Linked DNA regions of Arabidopsis thaliana. The protein of the gene in region 3 interacts with the protein of the main gene of each other region in a biochemical or structural test. Each region holds a gene or a part of one and is shown on either strand. Other genes may lie near its edges.

The links.
Region 1: of the proteins of MPK2 (region 3) and MYB113, one has a biochemical effect on the other in vitro, tested with the Arabidopsis thaliana proteins (one large-scale study listed by BioGRID).
Region 2: of the proteins of MPK2 (region 3) and NF-YA10, one has a biochemical effect on the other in vitro, tested with the Arabidopsis thaliana proteins (one large-scale study listed by BioGRID).
Region 4: of the proteins of MPK2 (region 3) and LBD19, one has a biochemical effect on the other in vitro, tested with the Arabidopsis thaliana proteins (one large-scale study listed by BioGRID).

What each region holds. Positions count from the first base shown.
Region 1 is NC_003070.9:24,751,885-24,759,546, reverse strand, and holds MYB113 (myb domain protein 113), read right to left. Parts: upstream 5,959-7,662; 5' UTR 5,914-5,958; coding exon 5,793-5,913; intron 5,652-5,792; coding exon 5,522-5,651; intron 5,433-5,521; coding exon 4,943-5,432; 3' UTR 4,786-4,942; downstream 1-4,785. Other genes in the region: MYB114 (myb domain protein 114), read right to left, coding at 1,057-1,225, 1,297-1,426, 2,014-2,134; AT1G66360 (Calcium-dependent lipid-binding (CaLB domain) family protein), read right to left, coding at 6,940-7,257, 7,391-7,486. UniProt on the Arabidopsis thaliana protein: Transcription activator, when associated with BHLH002/EGL3/MYC146, BHLH012/MYC1, or BHLH042/TT8.
Region 2 is NC_003076.8:1,981,133-1,989,936, reverse strand, and holds NF-YA10 (nuclear factor Y, subunit A10), read right to left. Parts: upstream 5,115-8,804; 5' UTR 4,877-5,114; intron 4,836-4,876; exon of another isoform or gene 4,528-4,835; 5' UTR 4,499-4,527; coding exon 4,306-4,498; exon of another isoform or gene 4,180-4,305; coding exon of another isoform or gene 4,134-4,179; coding exon 4,042-4,133; exon of another isoform or gene 3,947-4,041; coding exon 3,740-3,946; intron 3,664-3,739; coding exon 3,346-3,663; 3' UTR 2,873-3,345; downstream 1-2,872. Other genes in the region: AT5G06520 (SWAP (Suppressor-of-White-APricot)/surp domain-containing protein), read left to right, coding at 565-2,481, 2,565-2,687; AGL96 (AGAMOUS-like 96), read right to left, coding at 6,765-7,493.
Region 3 is NC_003070.9:21,879,797-21,888,317, reverse strand, and holds MPK2 (mitogen-activated protein kinase homolog 2), read right to left. Parts: upstream 4,301-8,521; 5' UTR 4,111-4,300; intron 3,809-4,110; 5' UTR 3,798-3,808; coding exon 3,375-3,797; intron 3,283-3,374; coding exon 2,575-3,282; 3' UTR 2,267-2,574; downstream 1-2,266. Other genes in the region: ZCF37, read right to left, coding at 1-458; ZCF61 (E3 Ubiquitin ligase family protein), read right to left, coding at 4,686-4,788, 4,891-4,969, 5,077-5,120, 5,207-5,338, 5,425-5,537, 5,613-5,678, 5,767-5,907, 5,984-6,079 and 3 more; AT1G59550 (UBX domain-containing protein), read left to right, coding at 7,530-7,912, 8,055-8,193, 8,268-8,521.
Region 4 is NC_003071.7:18,709,075-18,716,805, forward strand, and holds LBD19 (LOB domain-containing protein 19), read right to left. Parts: upstream 4,138-7,731; 5' UTR 4,035-4,137; coding exon 3,729-4,034; intron 3,645-3,728; coding exon 3,375-3,644; 3' UTR 3,146-3,374; downstream 1-3,145. Other genes in the region: AT2G45403 (uncharacterized protein), read left to right, coding at 463-597, 678-800, 873-1,079; AT2G45405 (uncharacterized protein), read left to right, coding at 1,443-1,643; AT2G45406 (Galactose oxidase/kelch repeat superfamily protein), read right to left, coding at 1,887-2,264.

The DNA.
Region 1 (7,662 bases), 2.9 Mb from region 3:
GAAAGAAAAAAAAAATTAAACAATTTTTCTAACTAGACCTTGTTTAGACTCCTATAAATTGCTCTAGACATGTTAGGTCCCTACAGAACACCTAATTACATTCTAACAATTTTTTGAACATTGGATCCAACACGAAATCAAAGTAAGCCAGAATTGAATGTACTCGATTATTATATTTTGCATATACGGCGTTGAACATATTGGAATTTGATAGATCTTTTAAACAATTTGTAACACATGTGTAAGTGTGTGACCTTTCAATATAAAACACCAATATATCAATCACTCTATCAGAAGTCCATTTCCGTTCTCCGGTTGGCCCATAGCAAAACACTATGCACGTACAAGAATCTATTATTATATAGCGCATACTTACAAAATCTAATGTCTCTGTAGTTACTAATATATGATACAAGTTCAACGGTTGCTGTTAAGAAAATTAGGCATGTATATTGCCAAAAAGATATATACATTGTACAACACCATTGGTCCAAAACTTATGAAGTAATGAAAATCCAAAATTCCAAATGCAAATAATCTCAAATAAAAATCTAAAATTCCAAAATATATATATTCTTATTTTTTTATTTTTTACAAAATGTAAACTCACACAGAAACGGAAACATAAGGTTTGCCTAAAATACTATAAGATATTAGTTAATTTAGAAAATAGATACTAAATTAAATAGAGAAACCTCACAAACAAGAGAACACAAACGTTTATAAACACTAATCAAAGATCACAGTCTCTCCATCGAACAAATTCCAAAGTTGCTCAACGTCAAACGCCAAAGTGCCCTCCTTTTCTGTTGCCGCCGCTTCTGTAACCAGCACATCTACCTCTTGGCCCTCGTCTAGCAAACGCTCCAACCATATATTATCTCCAACCATAAAATTATCCACAAAATCATCTTTCTCATCATCTTTGTTACATGTGATACTATTTTCACAAACATTATCGTTGTCGAGTCCAAGGCATGGAGGAATTACACCAACTTCAGACTGTCCATCGAGATGGTTGCAGCCGGTTTTTATAGAGAAGAATCGAGGCCGAGGCTAAAAAATATCGACTTTTTGGGCCGGTGTATTAGGAGGGGTTATAATATTTATCCTTTTTATCTTAGTTTTACAACACGGTTCATGCTTCTTACTCAGATGGGTGTTCCAGTAGTTCTTGACATCATTAGCGGTCCGACCAGGTAATCGACCAGCAATCAAGGACCACCTACGTATACATACGAGTTACTAGTATTAGACTTATTGCTCGTTAAATAAGTAGAATAAAGTAAATTATACCTATTTCCTAGAAGCTTATGAAGACGAAGAAGAAGATCAACTTCATCAGAACTAAATTTTCCTCTCTTGATACTTGGCTTCAAATAGTTTAACCATCTTAGTCTACAACTTTTCCTGCACCGATTTAGCCCTACAAAACCAATAATTGACATTAGTTAAACCTAAGAAGATTGCTGTCTCTTTCTATAATTTTATCATAAAGAATCTATGCACACCAATAGAAACAATGTACTATACACACATACGCACGTGTTCGTATAAAAACTTTCACTAAATTCATTTATGAATTAGAAGACAAACCAATCGTAGAATTAAACGACTTTTCGGAAGTTCGCATTTTGTTTTTAGAATATGTAACGTAGATAAACATAGAACATTTTAAAAAAAAAAAAAAAAAAAAATCTTCCTCTAAGTTCAACATTAAAGTTTCCAATAGTTGGTCGGTATATTGAATACCGGATCAAAATCTAACGAGTCTGTATATTATTTCATCGTTCACTCCGATATATTCCGGAACAACTTCGGACCAACCCCGGTCTATATATGTTAATACGTAATGAACAGTAAATGCATACCAAAATATTACTATTTAACATATCAAAATGTTGGTCTGATCATTAGTCTAATATAGAGCATACAACACAACCAGTCAAAGTCTAAGTATGATTTTATGAACAGTGTAAAGAAATTTTCATGATTATGTGTTTAGATACATACCAGCTCTTAAAGGAACTTGATGCCATTTGCCTTCTCCATACTTACCAATACACTGCCTCAAGAGACTATCTTCTTCAGCAGTCCATGCACCTTTCCTCAACCCTTTGGACGAACCCTCCATGGACCAAAGATAGATATCTAAGCAAACTATAAGAAAAGGATTGAGATAGGTATATATTGTGACTTCAGAGATCCTTGGAGGAGTAGAGAGTGTGAGTATCTGAGCGGAAATATATACACACGTGACGGGCTTAGGAAAGTGACGTGCATGTGTAATATCCACATTTCTGTTTTACATGTCGTGCTTTATTTGCTAAGTTATTGTTTGGTTTCTGATTTGACTAGAGAAATGGTTCATAGACACCTAACTTGTCTCTTCATCCTTTTTCTGTACTTCAAAACATGCAAAAATGAAAAAATAGGAGAATTGATGGCAGATGGTCTATATATATGAGGAGGCTATTTTTCTCTTGTTTTTCTTTCATTTACAGATTATTGGAGTGTTTTTATCCACTGCAGATCTCACAAACTTTGAATTCTTAACACTAATGTACATATTCATCAAGTGATTTTTTTTTTTCCATTTAGCAGAATTGAACTTCCCCACTCTAGCCTTCATCTTTTGATCGCTTTACCCTTAATTCATCTTCATCTTATTAGTGTATACTGTTTGTTTAGTATAAAAGTATTTCTTTGTAACACATCTCCTCAGAAACCTCAAGGGGGACTAAGAATATATTATATCAATATTTTCTTGTTATAAATAATTGAAGGACCAAAAAATAATAAAATAATAATAATAATTGAAGAATTTATGTCACAAAAATATTTCATGAAATTTTTTTATCTAGTAAAAAAATATCTAGTACATAACTCTTGACCCACATAACGGTCAAAATTCAGGCTTCCTACAACATACATATTTCATGAAGATTTCTACAATATCTAAAAAGGTAACCCAAGACCTGATCACAAAATATTCAACAAGTCATAGTGTGTAGCAGGTATGATATAACATAAAAACTAATTTGATTTATTCCAGATACCTCTAAAATAATATATTCTAGATTATGATTAAAATATATAATTTGATTTTGGTGAAACAAGTATGATATAACATAAAAACTAAGACAGAATATCCTTTAACAAAAACTAAAATAATATTAATTCTTTTTTGTTAGCGCAAAACACACCAATTATGTAATTTTATGATATAGGATAGCACTGGTGATGATTAGCTGATATTTTGTAGAATATTTTTGAAGGAAATAGTAAGAATTTTTTTAACTTTTCAAGTGAAACCAACGTGTATGCTCATCGTCCACAAACAATTTTCCACATGAGACATAATTTCATAAAAGCTATAAGGTGTGAAGTCATTTCTTTCAAGATTTTCCAGAACAAAAATAATCATACACTGTAAGGAAAATTTCCTTTTGAAGTGATAGATATTTATCATACATTTTTAGAATTTTATATTTTCTTTTCAACCGACGTCATAGTAATTAATACCAGATGAACGAGACTAGTATGGATTTGGGAGAATTTCAAGGAATAAACTTCACTTTACTGACACAAAGTTTTATAGATTTTCTGAAGAATAATTTACTTGGAAGTTTCACGTTTAAGTTTTTTCTCAAAGAATGCTAAATTTATGAATCTTTTAGAAAAATCTGACTTACACACTTGTATGTGTGTAACCTTTAATAAGAAAACACTATTCAATCACAAGTTCCTTTCCGATCCTCCGGTGGTTATGTTTGCCAAAACCCATGTGTTAAATTGATATATAATAGAATATAATAATAATAGATCTGATTGATAACATAAATTAGTTGAAACTGTAAGTTATTTTGAAACAATGTAAAACTGTAAAAAATAGTTATACGAAAAAGTTGTACAATAAAACTAAAAATAAAAAATATTATAATGATTTTGATAAAAAAAATTGTGAATGATAAATATCGAAAATATACAAAAAAAATATATCGTTTTGATAGTAGTTTATCATTCAAAGCTAATAAAAACAACGATAATGGTAAGTTTTAAGAATTTTTGTTTTTTTCCAATGCATGTTTAGTGTATACTATGCAACCGACATGGATCCAAAGGACATCAACATTATTTGCGTTAGAAAACTGTTGTTGTTTTCTTTTAAGAGGAAAAGTCAAAACCAATTGATATAATAAATATATTGATCCATATGATATCACTCAAAGTTCTTTCTTGATTTTAATGTGCGAGATAGCTCACATGTCTCCTTAAAATAATCAATGACCCTTCTAATTATTAATTTCGACAAAATCTCATCATAATTAAAATTGATTTCGGTTTAGATCAATCGGACCAATTTTGAGTCTGCTTAATTTCAGATCGGATTGAATGGACCCACTTTGAGGCATGCATCCATTTGTTCGAGTTGGAGGAACGTGTGTCTCCATCGGAGAAGAAGAAGAATTGTTTTTCTTTCTTTCTTTTTTTAGTTTTTTTTTCTTACTTTTTTCTCTTTTAGTTTATTGCAGCTTACTCTGATCCTAATTATCTAGGTCAATTTAAAACGTAGTATTGTAGATAAAAAAAAATTACGATTCATGTAGTTTTTTTGGAGAATTGAACTTTCTGACGTTGGTTTAGAAAAGACCATAAATTTGTAAATAAAAAGCAAAAAAAAACATAAGTAGAAACATCCCTTTCTTCACTCTCATCGCATCACCTCATACAACACAATATAAGTAGAAACGACTCTCATATTATCTCCTAATGAACCATTAGACGTTATCTTCTCGGGTTTGAATTCGTGTTAAGTTATATTGTAACAAATGCTGCCACCTTTGATATGAATTTAATAATACAATTTTTAAAAATTGCAATATAAAAAACATCCACAGAAACATAAATACACACGTGCAAACAAAAATGGGGAGCAACACTAATTCAGTTCTAAAGTCTCTTCATCAAACCGAGCCCAAATTTGCTCAAAGTCAAGCGGTAAGGTCACACCCTTTGCTGTTTCCGTAGCTTCTGGACCCAACACATCTGCCTCCAGTAAACTTTCCCACCACATATTATCTCCATCCAATAGATTAATATTAATAAGCTTATCTTTTTGCTCATCTTTGTTACATGTAATACTACTTTCACAAACATAATTGTTGTTGAGTCCAAGATGTAAAGGAACAACGTCAACTTTTGGCAAGATATTGACATCGTTGCAACTATTTTTATCGGAGAAGGATCGAGGCCGAGGCTTTAAAACATCGATTTTTTGGGCCGATGAAGTAGGATGAGAAGTAATGTTTTTGTTTATCATCTTCGTCTTACAGCATCGTTCATCGTGCTTCTTACTCAAATGAGTGTTCCAGTAATTCTTGACATCATTAGCAGTCCGACCAGGCAATCTACCAGCGATCAAGGACCACCTAAACATTGTGAAACAATATACATGAGAGTTTCTAGTATTGAACCGCGATCCCTAAAGAAATAGTATTGACTATCGAGAAAACAATACCTATTTCCTAGAAGTTTATGAAGGCGAAGAACAAGATCAACTTCATCGGAGCAGAGTTTTCCTCTCTTAATACTTGGCTTCAAATAATTCAACCATCTAAGTCTACAACTCTTTCGGCACCGATTGAGACCTATAAAACCAAAAGTCGAATTTACTATACCTACTTAGATTTCTTTTGTACCTCCTTTATCTTTATCATGAAGAATATATGCACACCAATCGATATAAATAGTATTTTCATGAACCACCTTAAAAAGCATGAAACAAATACCAGTTCTTAAAGGAACTCGATGCCATTTGCCTTCTCCATACTTATCAATGCATTGCCTCAAGAGAATATCTTCTTCAGTAGTCCATGTACCTTTTCTCAACCCTTTGGGTGATTCGCCCATGGAGCAAAGATAATAGAAAATTATCTCACAAATTTTATAAAATTTATATATATGGCATGTGTGAAGCCTTCACAAATTATTGGAGGTTTTATATAGAGAGTGCAGTGACTGCCATATTTTATATCCACGTTTAATTCATGCTGAATTTGCTAAAAATTAGTTTGTTTTGCTATTGTTTAGACAAGAGAAATGGTTCACTGCACTTAGCAGCCAGACTCTTCGTTCTTTTTAATTACGTATAATAATAACAATGTCAATAAATCTGTTTTGTACTTCTACATGGTTGTCTTTCTATTGCAACATTTCTTCAAAATATTACAAAAAAAAGAAACTAAAGTTAAAAAGTTATAATAATGTTTTGTTAAAAAGTTATGTATGTTCAACTAAAGTTATATATTTTCATTTTCTGGTTATTTTTGATTACTAAAATATGTTTAAATAAAATTGCAACAGATTAATTGAACTGTTATAACATTTGATCTATATGGACGAATCATTGCAACTTTTGATTTTGTTTTATGAGCCGTTGTAATTTTTTTTATTTAATAAACTTTTAATTATCTACTGTTGCGTATTTCGGTATAACTTTTTATATAATTTAGAAATATTTATTTATTTAAATAAAGTTGTAATCGTTATTCGACGAATCATTGTAATATTTGATTTTATTTTATAGACCCATGTAATTCTTAGTTTATTTTGACTGAGCATTGTAACTTTTATAATATTTAATATATACGACCTCATCACTCTGTATAAATTGTTATATAACTAATTTTTAAAACTAAAATATATATTTAAATAAATTATTGCAACCGGTTTATTGAATCAATGCAACATTTAGTTCTTAAGTTAAGTAATTATGTGCATTCTTAATGTGAATTAGTCCTTGTGGTTCTACTCTTAATTGCTTCATCGATAAGATCGCTAGTGCATTAAGATTATTAATTGAGTAAATCACTACATCAGTTTGTGTTATTGTTTTCGCCGTATCATCACAGGAATTTCTTGTAGTATAGAGTCGATCTAGAAAGCAACATCCTCCGCATCATCAGTCAAGGCGCCGGAGACATCGATCCACTCAAGCTGCAGCTCTATCTCCCCTCGTTCAACATTCTGAAGCTTAAGGAACATGTTCTGGACAATCTTTCCTTTGTGCCATACAATCTTGCTCTCTTCTGACAAGCAGTTTTGTCTGCTTGCCTGTATCTTCATTATTACAGTCCCCTCAGGTAGTCCTCCTAGTTGGTTTTGGATTCTGATGGCTTCAAGGAACGGATCAATGTGAAAAATCGCATCTCCCATCTTATCATCCCTTGAGAACCTGTCCCTATCGTACACCATCTGTTTATAACAAAAAAAAAACACCAATTTTTCTTGTTAAGTCTTGTTTCAAACTTCCAAATATAAAGAATCCATATTGTGGTCTAATCTAATGTATCGTGTTTGATTTGGTTGTAATGTCGAAATCACTTACGATCTTGACAGGAAGAGTTGGATCAGTAACAGAAAGTGTCAAGTCTTCGTTCCATTCTGTATTCAAATTCTTTTTCATCACACGGGTTCGTAGCTTCTGCGTCCAGAAAGAGTCATAACATAACCATATAAGATAAATAGATTATACACAAATAAGAAATGCACGAACAAATCAAAAACTTGTTGAAAATGCTTTTCATTTTTAGCTACTTTTTTTTTTGTAGAAATCAATTCCTAGGAATTTCTCATTAGCCGGTAATTTAACTTTGACAG
Region 2 (8,804 bases), on a different chromosome or scaffold from region 3:
TTGCTTAATTACAAAGGTGTTGTGAGTTTGATAATGATTGGATGGTGATAGATGTCTTGATTGGAGATAAATATATATGTTCAAGTTTGTAATTGTAGTTCGAATCTAAAATTGGTTAAAGTTTATTAACAAGAAGAACCTTGTGGCTGGATCTGATCTTCTTAAATTCCAATCCAATTATTCTTAGTATAGCTGTTCCGGTTTTAGTTCTGACTTCCGAGTAACTGGGGTTGTTGTGATTGATTAAATCGTAGAAATTATAATAAAATTATTTATTATGAACCGCAATTATAAGCCCAATCAAGGCCCATTAGAAAACCACCAAAGGAGTTTGGTTATAAATAGTGGTAGCCTAGGGGCTAGGGCTCACAGTTGATTTCTTCTTCGTCGCTTCCTTCGTTTCCAAGCTTTAGGTCTCCAAGTCACAGGCTGAGGTACGGTGTTTCTAATCTCTCTCCGATTCCTCTTATATGTTTTTCCTAATCTCTCTCTCTCTCTCACTCAGTAGTTGTCCCTTCTCTCTGAATCTGATTTTTAATGTTTCTCTGGTTGTAGAAAAAAAATATGTACACTTCGATGCACAAGGATTTGCGATCGAGGCAAAACAATTCAAATCAAGTTGGGGCGGATTCAGAAAGCACGCGTCTTGTTAATATAAGGAACTTGGCCAAAATTGTGAATGATTCAAGATTCAGGAGCTTAAGTCCTGACACTCCAGCTACTCATGATGCACAAGACTATCTTTGGCCTCCATCCTTGGATATGCCTCTGCTGGCTCCACCTGTCAACTTCTCACACCTTCCTCTAGGGATCACTTTCACGCGAAAGGAGCTTGAGCTTATCAAGCTCACAGCGCAGTTTGTGGCTGTTTATGGGAAGTATTTTCAGAGGGAACTGACGACGAGAGTTGTTGAGAGTCCTCTGTTTGAGTTTTTGAAACCAACTGACAGTAGGAACAGTTTTTACACGCGGATTATTCTCGGGTATCAGGGTGTGTTAATGCCTTCCCAAAAGCTGAAGACGAAGAGTGAAGTTTTTGATGGTTTCTCCAAGCTTATTGCTCAAGTGCCTGTAAAGGATGAGGATGACGTGGAGATGGCTATGACTGATTTGCATGCTTATGAATACTTTGCTAACATGTCCATTAATGATTTACGAGCTCCGGCTCCTGTCAAGTTTGCATTCCTTACTAGAGGGGTAACGTTCACGCGCAATGAGCTTGATACTATTAAGCTCACAGCACAGTTTGTGGCAGTTTATGGGACCCTTTTTCGGACAGAATTGATGAAGAGAGTGTTTATAAGCCCTAAATTTGACTTTTTTAAGTCAACTGATAGCAAGTGCTCTTTTTACTTGCGGCTTGTTGATGGGTATTCGAGAGTGTTAAGGCGTTCCAGAAAGAATGGTGCTGGTTTGGGGGAAGTTGTTGTTGGTTTTCTCAAGCTTCTTGATCAAGTTGTTGAAAAGAAAGATGCAGTGGAGATGGCTTTGACTGATTTGCATGCTTTAGAGTTTTTTGCTAACGTGGACGGTGGCGTGTTGCAACCACGACCTGAACAATACCATCCAATGATGCCAACAGTACCACCGCTAATTATGCCTCAACTGGGATCTCAGTTTACTCAACTTCAAGTTCCTCAACCTTCATGTTCTCCTCCAGTGAGGATGATGTCACCTCCTAGGCCACAGAATGATTTGCAATCGGGTCAAAGCAATTCAAATAAAGCTCCTGCGAGTGTGGCACCTATTGAGCCACCTCCAGAAATCAGAAGTTGTGTCGAGAACACTGCACTTATTGTTTCCAAAAATGGGTTGGAGATTGAAAGAAAGATGATGGAACTTAGTATGAATGATGCAAGACACAGATTTGTGTGGAGCACTGACCCTTATCACGCATTTTATCAGCTCAAGCTTGCAGAATACCGTGCTCAGAATCAAGATAGAGCTCACGATATCCAACCTAATGTTCTGAGATCTTTCGGTTTTGGATTTGAATTCCCTGAAAAGGAGATCACACTCAAGGAGCTTGGTATTATTAAGCTCACAGCACAGTTTATGGCGCGGTACGGGATGAATTTTGTGCAGGGTTTGAGGAAGAGAGTGGTTGGGAACCCTCAGTTTAAGTTTTTGGAGTCAACTAATAATAGCAGGTTCAGTTTTTACAATGGGCTTGTTATTGCGTATTCAAGGGTTTTAATGCCTTCCAAAATGCTGAGCAAGAGTGATGATTGTACGGCGACCGTTGTTGATGGTTTTCTCAGTTGTCTTCAATTGGAAAAGCGAGAGGAGGGAGTGGATATTGATATGATTGATTTGCTTGACTGTTTTGCTCGTTTGGAGGATGCAGACTATTCTGCTAACGTCCCACAACCTCAACACCTTTCAACACAAATGCAACCACCACATACGCCTGAAACGTCTCCTCCACTACCACTGCCTCTAAAAAACGAGTCATCACCTGTTCTTGCTGATCAACATCCGGTAATTGTTTAATGTTCTGATTCTTAGAGTCTTTTGTTTCTCAACTTGACTTGTATCTAATCATGGCAGTCATACATTTTCAGGATTCCTCTACCATCGATGATGAATGGCAAGTCATTGACTTCACAGGGCAGTCGTTACCGGACAACGTGGCAAGTTTGAAGGATAAAACAGCTGGGGGGATCCAAATTCCAGCAAACAAATAGAAGAGAAACAGAAGGTGCATGGTGGGAGAATGCAGGGAAATGGTTTTCAAACTTCTCTTTAATACTAATCTTTAAATTGACTTTAAGTTTGTTCTGGATTGGCAGCTAGTTCTGAGGCAAGTTTTTGTCTCTCTAATCTTAAACATCTGTTTAATATGTGCTTTAGCTCTTTTTTTTTATTGAAGTTTGGCTTTTACTTTGTTACATAAACCACAAGCTTCTTCTTACACAGTATCAGGATGAGAATAGACAATGGAAATAAAGTCTTTTAACTTTGTTACATAAAAACCACATTAACTTGAAAGTCTTACGTTTGTTTCATAAACACGTTACACACAATACATCATCTGGAAATAAGGCAGAGTTTCTTACAACACACACTAGTTGAAACATGATGCTAGGAAATGTTATTCACTAGTTCAGAGATCTTATGAAGATGCGTAGAAGAAAACAGACGAAGATAAGAACTTGATGAAGCATGAGCCAAAGATGATTTGCCTGTTTACAGCCAAACGGATGGTAAAAGGACCAATCTTATAAACCAAGGAAACTCAATGTCTTTTTTCCAAGACACAAGTTCTCTTTCCGTTTGGCTGAAAGATAAGGGACAAGACAAAAGACTGGTGAACCAAATCATGTCTTGTCCCCTATCTGCTGATCATATATTAAGTTTGCAGCAGCCAATATCCATTGCTGCTGCATTCCACTTGATAGGCATGACCATGCCACCAGGAGAATAAGCCGACGAACTTAGAAAGTAATCCATACTTGTAACTGCAGAATCCGAGAGATTTGACTCATTTGCTTCCCTCGATGAGTTTATGGTCTCATTTTCCGGATGAAAGACTTCAGAACTCTGAGAATTACTCGGCTTAGACTGCTTAGCCGCATCAGCTGTCTTGGTGTTCAAGAAACGCCCGCCAGATCCTCTAGGACGGCGCATAGCATGGAGATGGCGTGAGTGATGCATATATGGCTGAAACATCATAACATAAGGCAACATTTTTTGAATGCATAACTGAAAAAATGATCAGATAGTTTCAATAAGTTACCTTACGGCATCTACTCAGTTTTTCAGCCTTTGCTCGGGACTGGCGTCGCCTGATAATTCCATGGTACTGCTTTGAGTTCACATAGATGGTACCATCTTCTTCTGTCTCCATCTTCAGTGGAATCATTACTCGGCCCGAAGACCTCTGAGATCCGTATGCTGAAACAACTCCATAGTATTGTTCAACATGAGGATGCTTTGTGTACATCTACAATGAAAACAAAACACAGCAAATACTCAAGAAAACAATTAAAGGGAAATGAAAGTTTTTCTTTGTGATGTTCCACTGCAAGAGAACTCTACCATTGGCTGAGCAAATCCAAACTCGAAGCAAGCTGATTGCATCGCGAAAGCAACATGAGGCTTTGGCACATCTCTTGAACTCTTTTCACCACCTAAATCAATGACAGCATAAATAAAATCACCTTCAAACATTTGCATTCACTCTGTAATGTGCAAGAAACAGAGAGGTAATGTCTTCTTTCAAGGCTAATTGATACCCACTTAGAGAATTCAGTAAGAACAATCCGAAAGCTCCCATTACATATGAAAGTTGAGAGAGTTTACCAGGTGAGAAAGTGAAGAGAGTTGTAGAAGTTTGTTTATCCACCACACCTTGTTCTGCCTCCGTAGTAACTGCCTTAACTCCGGTGAATGAATCAGAAGCTTCGCCGGAAAGGCTCTCTGTAGTCAACGGCTGAGATCCAAAAGCATTCCACCAAGGAGTCTGTGGTGGCGACAAAAGCTCCTCAGTTTGCATAGCTTATGTTCCAAAAGTCCAATGGAAAACTGAAAGAGAGCCACAAAATATCTGTTGAACAAGCTAAAAAAAAAAGTCAACAACTAAAAGACTTCTCTTAGTTGTGTAAAAACTCTTAACAAGGAAAGAATTTTTAGACTTTAGTTTTAAAAGCAAAGCACACGAACCCATCTCAAGTTCACAGTCAAGAAACAGACTTTGTTGTCTAAAGAAAGAAAATTTGGGAGAAACTATAAAAGTAGACCCAAAAATCAAATCGTCAAACGAAACATTAATGTGAAAAATGCTAGACAAGATCCACAATAGATACTCGAGGACACAATAAAGAGAAGAAGAATCCAAAATGGAGTAAAGAAAACATAAGTAGAAGAAACTTACACAAGAGAGAGTGAGAAGCTTGAGATTCCTATTAGTTGGGAGCTATGTCGGTTCCAAATTAGAAACAAAGATCCGCAGAGAGAAGGAGAGAGAAAGAGATGAGTGAACAAGTGTAATGGAAACAACAATAGCTTCATCAACCAATCACCTTCAACTTTCATGCGAGTATTTTTTGTTTTATAATATTTATTAGAAAATGTTTTCTTTAGTAGTAGTAGGTGACATAAAAATAAAAGAGACAGAATTATTGCTCTAGTTAACTGTAGCGTTGGCTTGACGTGCTCTCTCCACAAGCTGCAATGATCCCACTTCATTCATAATCATCTCCATCAAGTAACAGTACTACTAGTACTGCTTTGTCGTCAAGTTTGTTTTTTGTTCCCTTCTGATTAAATTTGAGTGTTCACCGATGTTTCTTTAGCCAAACAATATATTTTACTCTGTTATGAGTATGGCTTCTACCGTTTGAATACTCTGATTGGTTGACAACATTCTGAGAAAAAAGTTGAAACACAAAAAAAAAAAAAAAAAAACTCCTTTCAGATGGACCGACATAATAAGCTCATTAATGAAGGCCCATTTTAAGCCCTATTTTTCTACAACAACTATGCTACTACTAGTGCTAGTGCCTCTGAGCCATATTTGAATCGGCCCATCATAGCTACATACCCAACTCAATTGGGTAGTTACTTAGGTCGGATTAAATCGGCCCATCAAATGAACCTCATTTCAACACTCATCAATTTGAGGAAAATATCCTATATATGATATCATTCCTTCTAAATTTAACATAAGTATTCTTTGACACTTATCCTAACTTTATCATCTGCCCTTTTGAGAAAATAACCTGATGAGCTGTCAAAGAAAATAAAATGATATCTTTCCTTTTATTTCTTAAAAAATACACCAAGATTTCTTTTCTTTTACTTCTTAAATACAGTAATTAAGATATTTCCTTTTAATTATTTTTATGATATGTATATTGGTTTATATAGAAAACTAGATATGCATGCCCCATAAATTCTTATTCCTACATTTGGGTCATGCATTCCTTTTATGATATCATAACATTTCATTATTTAGAGATAGTCAAACTTATTACTTTAATTGATAATAAAGAGAGGTCAAACAAAGAAAATAATAAGTAAATATATTCATTAGCTTCTAAAGTTTAAACATTTTTCACATTAAAGTTTCTTATTTTTGAATGCAATTGAATTAAGGTGCATGAGCCAAGCGACTTAGTCGTTAAAATGAGAATAATTTCTCTTGCAAACAACTTGCAATTTTGGGGGTTGAATGGGTAATAATACAATAAAAACACTAACACAAATTAATAGGATACAAGTCCATAGTAATTAAAATAATTTGTTATAGGAGAACAAATGAATTGATTATATTAAGGAAAATATAAGTGTTGACCATAAATAGATAATAAAACGTAGCATATAGATGTTTCATTTTAAGTTTCAAAATGCGTCCAAAAATGAACAAAACTATGTACGATGCATGAGAATGATAATATCTCTAATAATTTACGTGCATAGCATGACAATGATTATCTTATTAAAATACGATGCTCTAGAAAAATTAGGAAAAGTTAAAAAAAAATGCCCTAACATTTTGCACAAATTTGTTAAATACGGATGAGTTCTTCAAAACTGCAAAGAATAGTAAAGAAACAAACATTCGATTAAAATTAAGTTGACATGACAAGCAAATACAAGAGTTTAACACATAACAAGAGACATGATAAAAACTTGACCAAAACATAGAAAAACTAGAGATACGAAACGAGCAAGAAAAACAACAATAATAGAAAAAGAACAACATTAATTATTTCAAGAAAACTTCAAGACAAGTTGTCATGTCAACTTTGACGGCAGCTTCATTCGGCATCGTCTTCAGCACCACCGGCCATGCTGCTCTCTCCTTTATAGGTCCCCAAGTCTTCATCAGATGGTTCCATGTTTAGGTCTAAGCCACTGACCATTGTGGGTAAATGAGTCTCAACATCACAAGGGTTTTGGACTTGTGGATCAACGAAGACCCATTTATCAACATAATAGAAACTTCTTCCAGTTTCCATCATGTTTAACCCATTTCCACCTGACCCAGACGCAACATTCGAAGCCCTCAGGGCGTCGACCCCCGTAGAACCCATCCGTTTACTCAACCACATAAGTTTCTTATCCGCATATGGTATTAGTTTATCAGCCTCGGTTGGGGAGAGATCAGCAAGTTCACGACCATTTTGGACTTGGAACATGAGTTCGTCCATCTCAAACTCCGTGATAACCTTCCGAGTATCGGCTCGTTTCTTCTCAATCTTTTCGATAACGGTCTGGACGTATGACTCCGGATCAACGGCCTTCATGGTCCTTTCATGGTCGGTTAGAGAATAAAAGTTGTCGATGAGTGAATTAGCTGCCTCGGGAGATGGCCACGCCGTCAATTGTTCTTCTTCTCGATTGAAAACGACCACACTAGCGCGCATATCGCACAGAATGGACAGTTCATTCACTTTTTTGATAAGCCCCGTTAACCTCCTCTTGAGGCTTGCCCTCCTCATCCTATCGTCACGGATCCATGCAGCTCGTACTTTTTTCCGAGCCATGGCTAAGGATCACTTGGAATTGTTTTTTTCTTTGTGGTGTGAAAACTAAGCATCCTAGGTGTGGTCTTATATAAGAAAAGCCTAGGATAAGAGGTTGAACGGGGAGAATTTCCATGGTTGTAGTCTCCAATTGAGAAATGTTTGAATAGATTTTTTGGTAACTTAATTAGTGGGAAAATAGTATGTTTCTCCTCTATTCTACTAGGATTTAACCGCGGGGCAATATTTTTATTTTATGTATTTTATATAATAATTTATTGTAAAAGTGATATAGTACTAATTTTGGTAAACATTTATAATCGTGGACTAATATAATATTGTTTAAAGTTTAGGATTATAGAAATATATTTTTATATTTAATTTTAAGATTTTACGCGTGGTATATATTCCATAATATCAATCCAAACCGTTCTACCATATAACTCTATCATGTGAAATTAAACAGCATTTTTTTGTAATAATATTATTGTTTAAAAATTTCAATTTTACTGGAATGAATTTGGAATGAATTTTATGGAATAAATTTAGTCAGAAAATTTTGCAATTTTGTGAAAGCATTAATGATTGTCTTACCAAATATATAAAACAAATGAAGAATAGTAATGTGAGAGTGTTGCCAACGTTTTTGTTGTAATTGGGCTTATCTAATGACGAAAGTAGTGGATCTATATGTAAAAGTCCATATGGACCTGGAAAATAACAGTTTTAAGTATTTGTAAATCGTAGTTTGTTGGACTTCGAAAATATATAATACAGACACAAATCATTTAATGTCAAGAGAATTACAATAAATGCATAAGCCAAATGAATTTTTTGCCAAAATGTGTTAAAAATGTATATATATATATATATATATATATATATATTATCATATTTTCATGTAGCTTTTCATTTCGTTTTACAATATGTCAATTGTATTTTAAGTATCATCAACATTCAGCACTTTCTTTTCTTTAAGAATTTTCTGCTTTTTTTTTTTAATAGTAAGATAAAAAAAAAAATAGTAAGATATATATGTATATATATATATATAGATCTATTTGTATGTGAAAAAATGCTGTTGAGGGAAAAAAAAGAGAATACATGCATGCAGCTTTTCCTCTAAGTACGATACACAGACGATGCCATCGTGTTTGCTTGTTCCCTCAGCACTCGAGTGTACGTATAGTGTCCATGGAGACCTAGAAAAAAGATATTGATTAGGCTACATTTTTGTAAAAACATATAAAATAATCTTACAAATCCATCGTGATGATTTCAAATATTCGTATATTCTTAATTGTGTTAACGTATATATTTATAACATAGATA
Region 3 (8,521 bases):
GCTACAGATCTTCCAAAGAAAGCCAAAAACACAAGAACCAAGATCACAGTCACAGGCAAGAAATGATCCGGTCTAGCGATCTTCTTCAGATTCTCGTTTATAACACAGCTCTGTTTTTGCTCTGTTTCAGGCTCTGTGTTCTTGATTTCCTCTGTTTTTGCTTCCTTGACTTCTGTTTTGACTTTATCAGCTACAACATCTTTCGTCTTCTTGTTCTTCTTGTGAAGATAAGATGATCTGATCACAACGGGGACACACTCACCGGAGCTTGTGAACACAAATCGAACAAGAGGCGGGCCACCGGAATCGAGCTTCTTCGAGTAGATGCTTTGCCTCTTCTCGTCTAGCTCGGAGAGAAGCTCAGAGAATTTATCAAGTCCACGATTTGAATAAGGGTTCTTGCTTGCTTTTCTTGATTTTTTGGGTGAAGAACATGGAGATCTAAATGGGCTCACCATTTTTACTTCGAGTGATGATCTTGTGGTTTCTTTACCTTGCAATGTTCTTGTGAGATTCAGAGAGTTTCAAGTTTTTTTTTTTGGTTTTGGTTAATGAAGATTTGTTTTGGAGACAAGAGTGACGACCTTGTTATTAATAGACGTGATTTGTATTAATATTTTAAAAGATTTCACGCGACAATAATATTTTCTTTATTGTAATACTATAGAAAAAGGATTTAAGAATTTGACCGGATCAGATGATGAAGCGTTACAACTTGGTCAAAATGTCAAGATCTCAGAATTTTGTATTTAATATTTTGTTTTTTTTTTTGTTTTTGTGTGGGTGATTATAAGAAGTTTCCAGGAATAAAAGAACATCATCGATCACGTATGTTGATAACGTTGGTCTTATTGATTGACTTCCTTGGGGCATAAGCTAAAAAAGAAGTCTATCTTTCATAAATTTCCACGACGGATGTATTATTTTAAACTATATTTAGTAATTTTATAACCAAAAGCTAGTTGGAGTTTTCCAAGTATTTATGATTTAATGTATAGATATTGATGTTTTTGGCAATTTATTTGATGTGTGCATGGCAACTAATTTGATGTGTATGTGTGTGTATTATAGGAAGGGCATTTAGAAATATACAGGTTTGTAAACAGAAATTACCATCGGGTAAAGCAAGTTATAATATTTTTGCAAATTATATTTTTGTTTATAAAAGTGTTTTCCCTGAATTTAGTAATAATCATTATTTAATCACGAGTTAGGTTCGTTAACTTAGCTCGAAAGCTTGATACCATTGTTCACATAATGTTGGTGGCTTTATTAGTTAAGTTTTCTGTATTATTATGTATGCACATGTCACATGTGACACAATTAAGTGTTGTTTTGCTCGATACTACGTGTTTTATATAATATTTTCGGTTTGCCACTCTGTGTTTAGACTTTAGAGATAATTTTATAAACTATACATCATTTCATGAGACATCCCCTGTATCCTAAAGGAGAAGATGGAAAGATAAAAAGGAAAATTAAATACCAAGCAAGTGGTGTGTCTTGTGGCAGATTTTGGTCCCTCCAAAGGAGATTGAACATTGCATCCTAGTTCTATCATTTGATCATAAGTTTTGGATAAAATAGAGGATTTACAAGTATAAACTGCTTCATCATCATATGCTTATTAGTTTAATCAAATTATAGACTTAATAGTCCAACCGCAATTTCATATGGATAACTAAAACGAATTTTTGGCGGAATGGTATAGAAATGACTCAATGACATCAAACGCATAAATCAAAGAGATGATGATGAGGAACATTCATTGACTATTAATCGACGAGAAGACTTGACTTGGTCTTCTAGAATCTTTATCTCTTTGGCTCTTGATTTTTTTTTCACATCAATGGTTTCAATAATTAGTGCAGTCCTACATTTTTCCATTTACAAAAGTAAAAAAAGATTCTTATTCACACGCTGTTCATCAAAATATTTTTCCAAAGCATAAATGTTACTAATTATTGACATTTTTTCTATCATTTAAGTTAAATTTAAGTGTGTGATAGACATCAAAATATTTTTATCAAACAAAGCAATTAATACTTCTATTAATGTCACAATATACTAAGTCTGAATTCAGAATTAGGTACATGAAAGTCAAAAACACATTTATAAAAATTCTACGAATCTATGGAACATTCTATGTATCATTGAAAATTATTTCCCAAATAATTTTATTTTGATATTCTATGCATATGTTTTATTTCATGAATTTTTTTAAACAGTGTATATCTTTGTGTTAATACATTTATCTTCAAAATCATATTTAATCCAATGGTTTGCTCTTTGAACATTCGAAAATCTTCAATAAGAAAAATCACCAACAATAAGATCAGAGACAGAGTATGAAGTTTTAAGGACACATACACTTATGTACAAACGTTACAGACACTTAAGCTTGTAACCAAAAACAAAACAAAGCTCCATGACACAAACATATCACATAATTTAAAGTTATTGTTCTTCTTCTTCGACACTATTATTAACAACATTTCAAGAAGCAAACATGAAAATAAATAAGTTTAAGTTGTTGAAAGATCTCTCTGAACAGTACCTGCAAAAGACTTGATCTCAAAACTCAGAGACCTCATTGTTGTTTATGGTAGCAGCTTCTGGATGATAATGAATCATTTCCTTCCACATTAATTCTCTTATCATCTCTGCTCCCAAATCCTCGTCTTCATCTACATCGAGATCAATAGGAACTTGAGCAGGAGGATTTGCACTCGGGTCATATAAAGGCGCCATGTAAGGATGTTGAAGCGCTTCCGTGACACTAATCCTTTTCGAAGGGTCAAGAACGAGCATTTTCTGAAGCAGATCAATGGCTAAAACATTTGCACCCGGGTAAAGACGAGAGAATGATATCCCTGGTGAGTAAGGGAGTGATTCTATGTATCTTTTGGCTTTTGGGTTATCTATAAACTCGAGATCTTCCTCTCTCTGGCTACCCAAAATGTTAATGATGAGTTTAATCTGGTTTAGACATTCTGTTCCCGGGAATACTGGTTTTCTTCCAAGAAGCTCGGCGAATATGCAACCGACTGACCAGACATCAATGGAGGTTCCATAGTTGTCACAACAGAGGAGTAGCTCTGGTGCTCGGTACCATCTAGTCACAACATATTCAGTCATGAACTGACCTTTGGTGTTGCTCGTCCTCGCTAGCCCAAAGTCACATATCTTTAAGTCGCAGTTTGCATTCACAAGGAGGTTACCGGGTTTCAGATCCCGATGGAGAATGTTTGCTGAATGAATATACTTGAGCCCTCGAAGCAACTATGCAAAAGAAATAAAAAGCAAGTAAATGCAAACACCAAATGCAAACAACACACACTAATGGTAAAAGCAAATGCAAACAAATCACATACCTGGAACAAGAAGTATTGGCAATGGTCATTACTTAGAACTTGAGAAGACTTAATAATCTGATGAAGATCAGTATCCATAAGCTCATAAACAAGATAAACATCCTTAAAGCTTCTCTTATGATTAGCCATCATTACATCTTTAAGAGCAACCACATTCTCATGTCGAAGATGACGTAGAAGCTTGAGCTCCCTAAGAGTCCTCAACGCATCAATCCTATTCTCAAACACATTGTGGATCTTCTTGATCGCCACTCTCTCATTACTCTCTCTGTTAACCGAAGAGCAAACCACACCGTACGCGCCTCGGCCTATCGGTTTGATAGGCACGTATTTGGTATCGATCTCGAAAAGTGTTTGCCACATTGAGAAGTAATGCTTCCCTTGATTCCTAATTCCATTAGGTGGATCAACAGGAGTCGCCATTCTTCTACCTCCTTATAAAAACACACAACAAAAGGAATAAAAATCAAAACTTTATCGAAATTGGAACAATCCACAAATTTGAAAATATACACAACACAGAATTTTGAATTGCTTCCAACAAGTGACAATGAAAGATCAAATTTTTAGTTTTGATCTTAGGGTTCTCTAAGCTTAAGTTTACAGATTCAAAGGTTAATATTTTAGATTTCACTAATGATCAAAAGCTTTGTTTAAGAGAAAAGAACAAAAGTTGAATCTTGATCCGATGTTGAGATTGAGCTAGAACGATCTGAATTTTGCAGAGAGAGCTTACCCGTTGAGTGTTGGGGACGAATCAGATTCGTCAGTGACGATCGCCGGCGAGATTTGGGTGGAGAGAAAGAGGAAGTTGGAGAGATTTGGCTGGTGAGAGTGAGAGATTTGGTCAACGCTATGACCGTTGACTCTCTAGTTTCTCGTTCATTACCATTTTAGAGCTGTTTCTTTCTCTGTCTCCTTCACTAATCTGTCTTTAACTTTGGGCTTAATTAAGCCCAACCTGATTTGTAATAATTAACGGTAATTAGATATTTAAGATAGTGAGGAATTAACAAAAAGTGGACGTGCCGGAGTGGTTATCGGGCATGACTAGAAATCATGTGGGCTTTGCCCGCGCAGGTTCGAATCCTGCCGTTCACGTTTTTTCACTTCTTATTTTAACATCGAAACGTGATTATATAACTTCATTAGTAAATGTAAATCTAAGCTTGAAATTTATATTAGCATTTGTTCAATCACAATCTATCAATGCAAAAAAATTTCTAGTCAAAAACTCATGATACAAAGGCTTTACTATATGTACAAGACTAGTAATTGTTCGCTTGTAAAAATCGTTCTGAGTTTTGTCCTTCAATGGCGGTAAATTTTCAAAACTTGTTGTATTCGTTCCCGGCAAAGAGGACAGGTCCTTAGTTGCAAGGAGCATGGTGTGCAGCAGCACATATGACCACACCTACAAGTCCAAACCAAACAAAAAGAGGAATCAAAAGATGCCATGTTTGATCAGTGAGAGGGTTTTCAAGAGCTTTTAGAAGAAAAGCGGTCTTATACTTACTCAACAAAAGCGGTGTTATACTTCTGGTCAAGGCAAACCACACAGAGATCAGGTGTATCACCATCTCTGCTTGTACCACCTGGTAAGACGTTTTTGTAAGCAGAGCAATTCCAAGTGTATGCAGAAAAAGGATTCACATGTTACTACTACAAAGTACAAACTCTAATGGATAGATACTATTACTACCTCCAGTTACTGGTTTGGCTCTCCTAGCAGCTGCATCAACAACTCTGCAACAAGTTACCCAACACTTAACTCGCAACTCGCAACTCGCAATGAATACTTCATACGTGGCTGTGGTTAGGGTGCGTCATACCTTTTCAGTGCGAATTGTCGCCGCCTTCTTTCTAGAGTATCTTCAATTCTCTTTAGAATATATTCAATCACAGGCTTTGAAATAAGAATCACACCAAGAACAGTTAAACCCATGGAGGCATACTTGAACCTCCTGCCAAAAGAAAGAGATCTTTTAGAATTTTTTTCAATCATAGTTTTCGAAGAAAAGAATAGGCAAAAACAGAGAAAAGAAACAACCTTGACAAATCTCCCAATTTAGAGATGAGCTGATCTAGCGGTATATAAGTGACGTAGAAAGGTCCTTGCTCAGGTTTTTGAATCCTGACATTCCCCATGCCATCCCTAACAGCCTGTTAACATGGTAAGCAACATAACAAAGAGAGATATAAAACGTATTTTGGACCGCTAACAGATAAAAGACATACCTCACCAACAACTGTAAGCGGTGTACCAATTGGGACAACACGCTCAACGTGTCTTACTCCAAGTATCTATAGACAACAATGGTGCCACAATGTATAAGCATTGTCAAAACAAAAGCAAATCAATGAAAAGTGGTAGGAAAGGAAAAGAAAAGACCTTAAAGCCTTTAAGATAACCCAACGCTCCTTGAACAAGCGATACCGGCTCTGCCTTTTCAAATACATCACTACCAACCGTCAACGCCAAGCCTAATTCACCTTGAGATACATCTACATTCACACGACCTGTCCCGTCGTCCTATAGGCAACCAATATCATATTTTGTAAATGACTTTAGAAAGTAATACACTCCAATCAAAGTCCAACAGACATACCAGATACCAGGGGACTTCCTTAGTCATCGGCTGCATCAATGTACTATTTCGAACCCATGAAAATCTCCAATTACGTCTCAAAACCTGTTGTTCTGCCTGAAAAAAATCGTTTCTTTTTAACATATCCAAAATCACAGAAACGAAAAACTAGATTATCTAATCCAATTCATACATACCGTTCTCTTGAGAAATACACCGAGAACATAACTATGCTCACACTTAATAGGAGTCTCAGAGCCAACATCTCCTGATACTGCGATGATCAAAGGTACCACCTTGCTCTCTACTTCTACTAATTGTTCTGAATAAAAACGAATGATATCAAACACATAACCAAAACCCATCCACCTAAAATTGAAATGCAGAACAATGCAGGAACATTACCCAAATCCTTGAGTTGGTAAACCCTAGTGATTGATTTGATATCTCTGTCCCACGAAAGAAGAACATTACCACCGAATAACAGTAAACCCTAGTTATCGTAATTCGTAAATAGTAAAGACAAGAAAAAAAACCTAACCTGCCTGTGCTCCTGGTAAGAAGATAAAGAGCGACGCCGCCTAAGCAACATGTAAATCCAGCCAAATGTATCATCTTCTTCCACTGTACACACTGATTCCTTCACGAGATCACTATTTGTCGGCCACTTTACTTCTTTCGCCGAGAAACCAGAAACCGATCAAAATTTTCAGGCAGAGAGAGAAAGTGAAGTCGAATAGGGATGAATTTTTTAATTAATTCTTTTTTGCTAAATATGAAAAAACTAATTAATGCAGAAATATTGTTTGACCAATACTATTTTGATTGTTAAAAGGGTTTTCTAAAGGAATTAGGGCTTGATTGGTTCTCCCCCTCTGCTACCAATAGTAATTGATTTGAGAAAGTCATTTAACTTTAAGATTTCTTTCAATAACATTTTTCCTTTTAAAAAACTAATTAATCAAAAGAAAAGAAATTAATTAATCAAAATGAATGTTTCACAAATTTAATCAAGAAGATATTCAAGTTAATATATCCTAGGATTTTTTGCAAATTAACAAATTTAAAACAAATAATACTCATATTTAACATTTTTTAGAAAACCCCATTAATAATTACTTCTACTAATTAATATTTAATCAACAACAATAAAAATTTATATTTTTTGTTAAATAACAAATAATACATTCTAATATAATATGGAAACCGAATAAAAACCTACGCTTGCCGTGTACCGCGGGATGAATCCTAATATTTATCAATATGTAACTAAAAAAAATTCCAATTGTAAAAAGTTTAGCGTGATTTAAAAAAAAGTTCATTGAATTATTTTATAGGCATAGACCGATAAAGTTTAAGTAAAAAACGATAAAGTTATTATAAACAAAACAAAAAAGTGATAAGGAAATTTCCGATTTTTTCTCGAACCAAATTGGAGTGAAAAAAGGAAGAAAAACAATACTATCAAGTTCTCTATATAAACAAAGAAATAGAAGCAAAGACGTACAAAACAAAAGATTAAAACTCATACAAATTTGTTCTCTCTTTCTCTTTGAACGGCAAAACAATGGAGAGTAACTATCAGAGAACACTGGTCTCAGCTTTCCTCAATATCTCTGTAGATCAAACTGTGGAAACCGCTATAAAGTGTCTAAAGTCTACAAATTGGAAGCTTGAAGATGCCATCAATCTCTTATTTGCCATCGACAGAATGAGAAATAATCAAACTTTGACACTAAAACCTTCCGACTCTACTAGATTGCCTTCCTTGTCTCCTCCTCCTCCTCTAAATCTGCTTTTTAATGGTTCGTTCGAAGACGCGAAACTAGCTTCTTCTAGCAAAGATCTATGGTTGCTTGTTCATATCCAATCCGAAACTGAGTTTCCTTGTAATACATTTAACCGAGATTTATGGTCAAACGAAGACGTTTCTCAAGCCCTTGAGTTTAGGTTTATGTTATGGCAAGTTTATGATCATACCAGTGAAGGAAGAAAAATCACTAGCTTCTATATGATCCAACACTGTGCTCCTCCTATGCTGCTCCTTAGTCCTTATCGATCCGATTACTGGCCAGAATATATGTATATGGAGGGGCGAGATTAAAGCTAAGGGTTTTCTTAAGGATTTGAAGAAGTATATTGATGCTAGTCCTCACGAACATATTGCTTCTACGGCAAGGAACATGCGCGTAAAAGCAGAAAAGATTTGCCACTCTGATCAACAAGACATGGTTGGTTTTACGGACGATGATTTTGACGATTTTGATGAGGCAGCTGATGAAAAGACTTAAATCTCATACATAAGGGGAATTTGTCATCAGATAGCGTCGTGGTTTCTTCTTGCGGGCGAGAATTTGATGATGTAGTGACTTTATCCGAAGATGAGGAGGAAACTTGTTTGTCAAGCGACCTGTTTGAGTTCCCAGTTTTGACAAAAGAGCCTAAAGGAGACTGTGATCGAAGCGTTGTCTGTAGTATCAGCGTTCGATTTCCAAATGGGAGAAGAAAGCAGAGAAAGTTTCTCAAGAGTGAACCGGTTCAGCTTCTCTGGTCTTTCTG
Region 4 (7,731 bases), on a different chromosome or scaffold from region 3:
TAAAATTGTTGGTCGGTAATTGAGTTTTCAGTTAAAGGTTGTAAGTTTGTGTTGTTTCACTCAAGAGGCACAAGTAGAAAGAGACACAAGTATGAAGTGACAGAACTAATTGAGTTGTTGTGTCTATTTGTTTTCTATATAAACACCTTGTATCGTCATGTAAAGATTAACAAGTTTCAGTTTCAATAAAACAAAGTTTTGTTCTTGTCTTCTTCACAAGAGAAGAGATATGTCTCTCTTACTCTGTTTTTCTTCTTTCTCTCAATAAACCAACATGGTATCAGAGCCGATGGTTGTCCTTGGTTGTCTCTACAAAAATAAGATGTGTTCTGCTGCGAAAAGAAAAAGAGAGATGGAGACAACAAATCTATGGTGAGATGAAGAGGAAGAAGAAGAGGGAAGAAGAAGAAATAAGAGGTGGTAACTACAGAGAGTACCATCAGTTTTCACAAACACATTCACATGAAGTACCTTCAAGAGGAAGGCTCCAAAAGCGATGAAGAAGATAGGAAATCTTCTCTAGAGGCAATGGAGAAAACGAATGTGGATTTGGAGTTGTGGAAGGAGAGTTTTGAAAATTTGTTCAACAACGTCTTGGTGAAGCGCAAGACGGCAAAGCCGCTGTTGTAACAAACAGAGCAAGGCTTATTATCAAAACGTTGTGTTGAGTTGTGAAGATGACTACAACACGAAAACGTGGAGAAAAGTTTGCTTCAAAAGGAAGAAACAAACGGGGCGACAAAAGTCAAAAGAAGGCCAAGAAATGGTGTGACATTTGTACGTGTGACGATCACATTGAGGTGATTGTTGGAGAAAGCAACACAGGGATGTTAGCTTGCTTACGTGTGTGAAGCTGCTTACCTAAGAGAGAGGGAGCAGAGTTCAGTTCGGTTGCAAAGGTAGCCGACGAAGACGTGAAGAGATTTTCACGCACAAGACGTCGAAAAGACGTGGTGGTGATCAAAAGAGGACACCATAAGAGGATGCTTACCTCGGAGAAAAATGGAGCACAAGAGGATGCTTACCTCGGAGAAAAATGGAGCATAAGTCGGTTGAAGAGTAAACCAAAGACGACGTGAAGAAGATTCACGCACAAGACGTCATGGAGACGTTATGGTGATCAAAAGAAGACACCGAAGAAGACGTGGAGGAGTTCACGCACAGATTTGGTGATCAAGAGGACACCAAAAGGAAATCAGAAGTAATCTCATTTAAAAGAAAGTGAGTGGAAAAAAAGGTTGTGAGAACAACCGGAGATGACGTGACAAAGCTCACGTGAAAAAAAAAAAAATTTGAAGGTGACAAACGAGAAGCGTTGTGGGAAAGAGAAATCTCAAAAGTGTGCAACGTCAAATACGAGTTGCAACAAGAAGGTGCTTTGTGTGTAACAAGCCAAGGCACGTGGTGAAGAACCTCAAGTTGAAGAAATATCATCATCATGAATGATGAGACATGGAAAAGGGAAATATCCAAGTGATGACAAGCCAAGGAGAGAAGATCATCAAAGAGGTGTTTCTAGTGTCAGATGTCTCATCAATTATCCTCAAGGAAGAAGTATACAGGATATTAAGATCAAGCATAAGAGTTTTTCCATTGAGATGGAGAAAACACAAATGATTTACTTGCAAGGGAAGAAGAAGTAAACAAGGTCAACTTGTGACAAACTGAGAAGGAAGCTAAGTGCAAGACCGAAACTCAATTAAGGGGGAGTGTTGGTCGGTAATTGAGTTTTCAGTTAAAGGTTGTAAGTTTGTGTTGTTTCACTCAAGAGGCACAAGTAGAAAGAGACACAAGTATGAAGTGACAGAACTAATTGAGTTGTTGTGTCTATTTGTTTTCTATATAAACACCTTGTATCGTCATGTAAAGATTAACAAGTTTCAGTTTCAATAAAACAAAGTTTTGTTCTTGTCTTCTTCACAAGAGAAGAGATATGTCTCTCTTACTCTGTTTTTCTTCTTTCTCTCAATAATCCAACAAAAAGCACATCGAGTCACACCCTCTTTATTGGAGAAATCTTCTTCTCCTTGCGGAAATGGCTCCCAAGTTTGAGTCTTTGGGTCGTAAATCTCTCCCCCGTTTACGCCGTTATTGTAAACGCTGCTGAATCCTACGTACACATAGATCTTACCGTCAATTACATTAGCGGCTGCACCTTTTCGAGCTATAAGCATTTTAGGGAGTCGACGCCATTGATGAAATTTACAATCGAGAACATAAGCTCTCCTGCTACTCTTTCCCTTTGCGTCGAATCCGCCAAGCATGTAAATCTCTGAACCAGTAGAGACAAGACAACAGTTGAGCAATTGGGATGTGGGTAAGGAAACGAAGGAAGTGGTATCAGTTTATGTTTGGGAGTTTCGGAAAGTATGAACCAGCTAGGGTTATGGTTGTTATTAAGTTTTAAGCAGACATAGAGGCACCTCTCCGTATTTAGGAAGCGGAATCGTGCGGCTTCGAGATCCGGCGAAGCGACGAGTGATCGGAAACTCTTGGATACGAGAGATAGAATTGGATCATGAGTTCTCGAGACACGAGACAGACAGTTAAGAACAACGTCGTTGGGTAAAGACAAAAACGACTTCGGAGACTTCGATGATGACCTCATATCTTCTTCGGTCGTCATTGTGTTCGTGCCTTGGGATGGGAGGTTTAATTTAGGGTTTATGAGGGCTTTTACCGTAAAATTAATCAAAGAGTTATATTGTAAATGTTTTTATTTTTTTTACAAGTAATTATGAAAACCTTCTTTATCAACGTTTTGGAAAACTTTACGAAATATTTTTATATCCTCTAGATGAATCCAAAAAATATGTGAGTATGTGACGATGGAGACTACTGATACCTTTAATCTAGGATTGAAGTTGTTATCATAGTGAGCTTATGGCGTTTGCTGTTATTTCATAAGAAAGATTGACATGTTACTTTCAATCTCTTCGTTTTTAGTGAACTTTCTCTCTTCTGAGACTCTGTTTCTAATCTCTTGGCGAATTCCCCTAAAACAAGTTGTGTTTCTGCATTACCTTTTTATGATTCTTCCTTAGTTTCATTATACCGTGCACGGGAAGAAACATAGTACATATTCCCTACTCGATAAGCATTTCATTGTCCATCTTGCATACCTATCTGGTGGATCTGCAGTAACTGAATTCTTAAAACGAGTTTGCTCTGTTACAATGATCTGTTGTTTTGTCAAAGAAACACTTCATGCAAGAACCAATTTTAACTCTTAACATGCATACATTGATACATAATTAGCTATATATCTCTTAAGATGATCTTAAGCGGAATGGTCAACTATTGGGAACAGAGACACCTCCCTCGCTTCTACTCTCCATTGCTATAATACATAAATTCTTGACTTGTAGTTTGACCTAAGTGCAAGCCGGAAGTTTGACCGCCGGTAAATACCTTGAGACGAACTGCGACGCCAGTTCTTGGAAATCCCCATCTCCAGTTCCATCTTGAAGTAAATGTTCTTCCCCCCACACACTATCCAAGTTACTCGGTTCCATCGCATATTCATTGTTATGCGCAGGATCAAAAGACGGTGGCTGCATTTGTTGTGGCGACTGTAGAGGAAACCGCTGAATTGTTGAAAGACGAGCTTGAACATGAGCAAGCTCTGCTTGTAGATTCATCACCTAAGGTATACACAGTCTTGCTTGTTAATTAGTTGCTCTGTATATATAATCAGTTGTGTTATAAAAGATGTTTTGATGAAGAACCTGGTGTTGAAGAGAGAAGAGATGGCCAACAGAGCCATAGACAGGATCACGAATCCTTGCCATGGCCTCGTAACAGAGCGTGACGACTGCATCAAGTCTCTTGTGCAGAGGCAATCTCAGTAACATCTTAGAGGCATTGCTGGCCCCAAATACTTTGTGAACTGCTGCAAATCTCGCAGTTCCTTGCTCTGCATCGAAATAAGGAGCGAAAACGCACCCTTTCACACACTTTCTTCTCAAGAACTTGCAAGCCCCGCATGGTCCTTCTCCTCCTCTTCCACCGCCGTTCAAGTTTCCGGTCATCATCTTCAAGTAAAGAGAGAGAGCAAGAGAGGGAGAGATGTATTGAGAGAAGGAGGAGGTTTGTTTATTTACATCAGGCTAACTCAGTGAACTAATTTCAACACTTATAATAAATGAAAAGTGTTTGGGTTTTGACTGTCAATGTAAGTTTCTGTATGCTATTGACTGATCGGCCGCTTATTTATTAATTTCATACTATCTTTTTTATGTATTGGGCTTTACGTGAATACTACTCATGTATATAATTCGTATGAACAATTAATATGGGTTCCAAAATTCGATGTTATAAATGATCTTCTGCTAACATGTTCTATATATTTAGTGTGGAAATTAAACCGATACAAAGCCTAGGAAAGACAATTATTCACAAGATTGTATATTAGCTGAAATATATATGTTATAAAGATATATTCGCAATGATCAAGATCGATATCAAAATGCACATACCATGTGTGATCGATTTAAATAACTCAAAATGCACATAACCCTGAACCCCTTTGCATTTTTTTCAAAGATCACGTACATGTATTCTAGCCCTAGCGGCCCCTCCCCATGCACATTTCTTTTCATGCTATCACATCTCTTGTCACACTCACTCTCTTTCTTTACGTTTATATAAGTGCATATCAGCATATGAATTAAGTCATATGTGTATAGATATCCCCACATGAACTCATAGACATTTAAAATGTAGGAAGGAGAGATCATGAAATGTCTGATTCAGACCATAACCCTATATATAACAGCATATCATCACGAGGGTTTGGTTTAAACCGGACTGCGACAAACGTACGTAGCGGGTGCATAATTGACACTGAAACACACACAAACACAAAAACCATGTAAGTATCAATAAGTTATAGCATTTGTAAGTAAGTGACACAAGACAGCTTAATAATATCTATCTTCTCCGTTCTCCACTATCACAATCACGGTCACAATCACGGTCAAAGTGATTAGTATACGTGCAGAGAGATTTGAAAATCCAATCTATTGACCTTCTTTATTGCCTCTTCTTCCTTTTTGTTTCTGTTCCACCCGACATAAATCACTCTCGATCCAGTCTTCTCTTTTTAGTGTTTCTATTTATTTATACTATGTAAATTAGTTTTAGTTTCGGATTATAACAAAAAAAGTAAAATAAAAAATCTTTTCAAAGAATAATTTAAAATTGCAGTAAGGTTTTGTTAAAATTATTGTAATAATGTTTTAGTATGTAACAAATAGCTCAATAAATCAGCAAAACCTAGCTATAAACCGGTTCTACATACACGTATATGAGGGTTTTAAATCCTAGGAAAACAAATTTTGAAATAAACCAAAGTCACCTAACAAAAAACAATCAAGAAATACTGTTCAATTATAATCCATTTCTGTCAACCATTTTAAAAAAATGTACAAGAAAATACTGAAACCACGCGCTTGAATTCCGAGAGTGAGGAATATCTTTGTTCTCAAAGAATTTCAGTCAAAGAAGCCAACAGAATCGACGGTTGAGATCGATGGAGCAACCGCTAGTACGTTGATCAATACACAAAACAAGCCACGTCGTAAGATCTAGACACGTGGTATGACTTACATCCTCTATGACTTCACTGTCCCATGGAGTCATGGACCTAAGCATTCCAGTCACTTACCTCACCATCCCTTCTCTAATAGTGAACCTATAACAAGCCCTTTTATTGCATCTATGGTCTAACATTTGTATTGCACTGAATATATATTTATACATGTTTCGTAGATTACTAGAATCTGATTGGTTTGGTTACTCGTAATATGATCAGTAGTCTAATTATCTACGAATTTTTACCAACCAGACAAAAAAAAAATACATCATTCCAAAGTTCTTTTAGTTAAAATTTATATGTATTAATTTATTGTGAAAGATACATTGTGACAGGTTTAAAACAGAAATCCAAAATAATTATCGTTAACCGAATGATTTTAGAAAATGTTCAAGGATGGACTATAAGTTAACCGGATATATGTATACATAGAGAGAGAATTATGATAGTCGAACTTGTGGCCCCAAACTAAACATAGAACTACCTTATATTGATCTAAAATATACCTTACTAATGTGGTTTGAGGTTTTCTATGTATAGTTAAGTGATCCGATGCTCAACTATTCTTCTTCTGCTTGGATTTAAGACATTGTTTTTATCTAATTAGGTTTGAGGATTCTCAGATATTAAATTCAATGTAAAAAATATTTTTAAAATATTCAGCATCCATAATATATTCATAAACTTAATTGAGAGTAAGTAGGAAATGAGAGCGTTGGAGAAGAGAATCGCGCCGTTCGGTTCCTTGTCTACTAATCCGTGAATCTCCCCTTACTCTATTAGCCTTAAGCCCCTTAACTCTCAAATGTTTTAGTTTAACGCCCCAAAGTTTCTTATTTTGAACTTGCAGAAATTTCCTTCTTTCTTAAAACAATTATATTACACACTATATACATTTTATATTGATCATTAGTACAATTTACTTAAATGATCTCTTCAAATCTTTCTGTTGTACATCGTCATACTTCTATTTTTCTACATTATCATTATAAAGGCCCATACATTCTGATGATGTACGTCGAAATAAATAATGAGGAATTTTGTGATTTGACCAAAATATTGTCGAATTTGAACTTGCGACCAGAACTATAGATCGAAACTGCCTTACGCCTGAAATGCAACCACTGTCTGAAAATTATCCGACAAGGGGCCAATTATTATATCAAACAACATAAGTTTTCTTTTATAATTTTAAGAAAATAAGTAATGAATTCCATATGCTTGATTTCTTGCTAGTGTTTGACAAAAAAAATTGAAAAAAAAAGATTTCTTGCCAGTTAGCCATTTTCCATCAATTGGACTTAAAATGAACTCATATGTGTGCGTGTGCGTGTGTTTTTGTGTTTGTGGTTACATAAACAAGCTACAAGAATTTTGGGATTGTGTTTATATAATTTATAGTTTAGTTAAACATATACTTACAAAATTTCAAATAGCTATTTAATTCAAGGCAACATTTCTACTTTTAAGGAATCATTTGTCAGTTTATGCAATAGGGAGACAAACCACTTATCGATTAAGTCGTTGGGCCTTAATTACTTAACGTGTAACCATGGAAACTTTAACAATTTATTCCGAATAGATATTCAACTTAGCTATAGGTTTTCAGTTCCTGATGACTTATTCTAAAACGCTACATGTTTTGATCAAAAGTTTCATTGTAACCCATATTGTCCGATACATATGATTTTTTTCGATAAATCCTACAGATGATATATTACCAAGAAAAAGAAAAAACAGGTTGTAGTTGCTATGAATAAATGACCAACCAGGTGAAGTTACCCTAACTAGATTGTATTGCTACGTACATTTGTGAAAACATTAAGCATATTTAATAAAAGATTAGTAGTATAGTTGTATCATCAGCTTCCACTTGAACTCTTAAATCAATCGCTGTGCCTTGTTTTTAGGCGACACCGTATAATTTTCTAATAATATTTTTTAGTAGATATTGACCAGTGGATTTTAGAGTTCAAAGGAATAATAGGGTCGTAGGATGATAGGATCAACCCCCAATTTGAATATATGGTTAAACAACGCATGTGTGTATATATAATTTTTAAATTACGTCTATTAATTTGTAAGACAGATCAATTTATACAATCCTTATATATATTCCTTACCAAATTCGACGA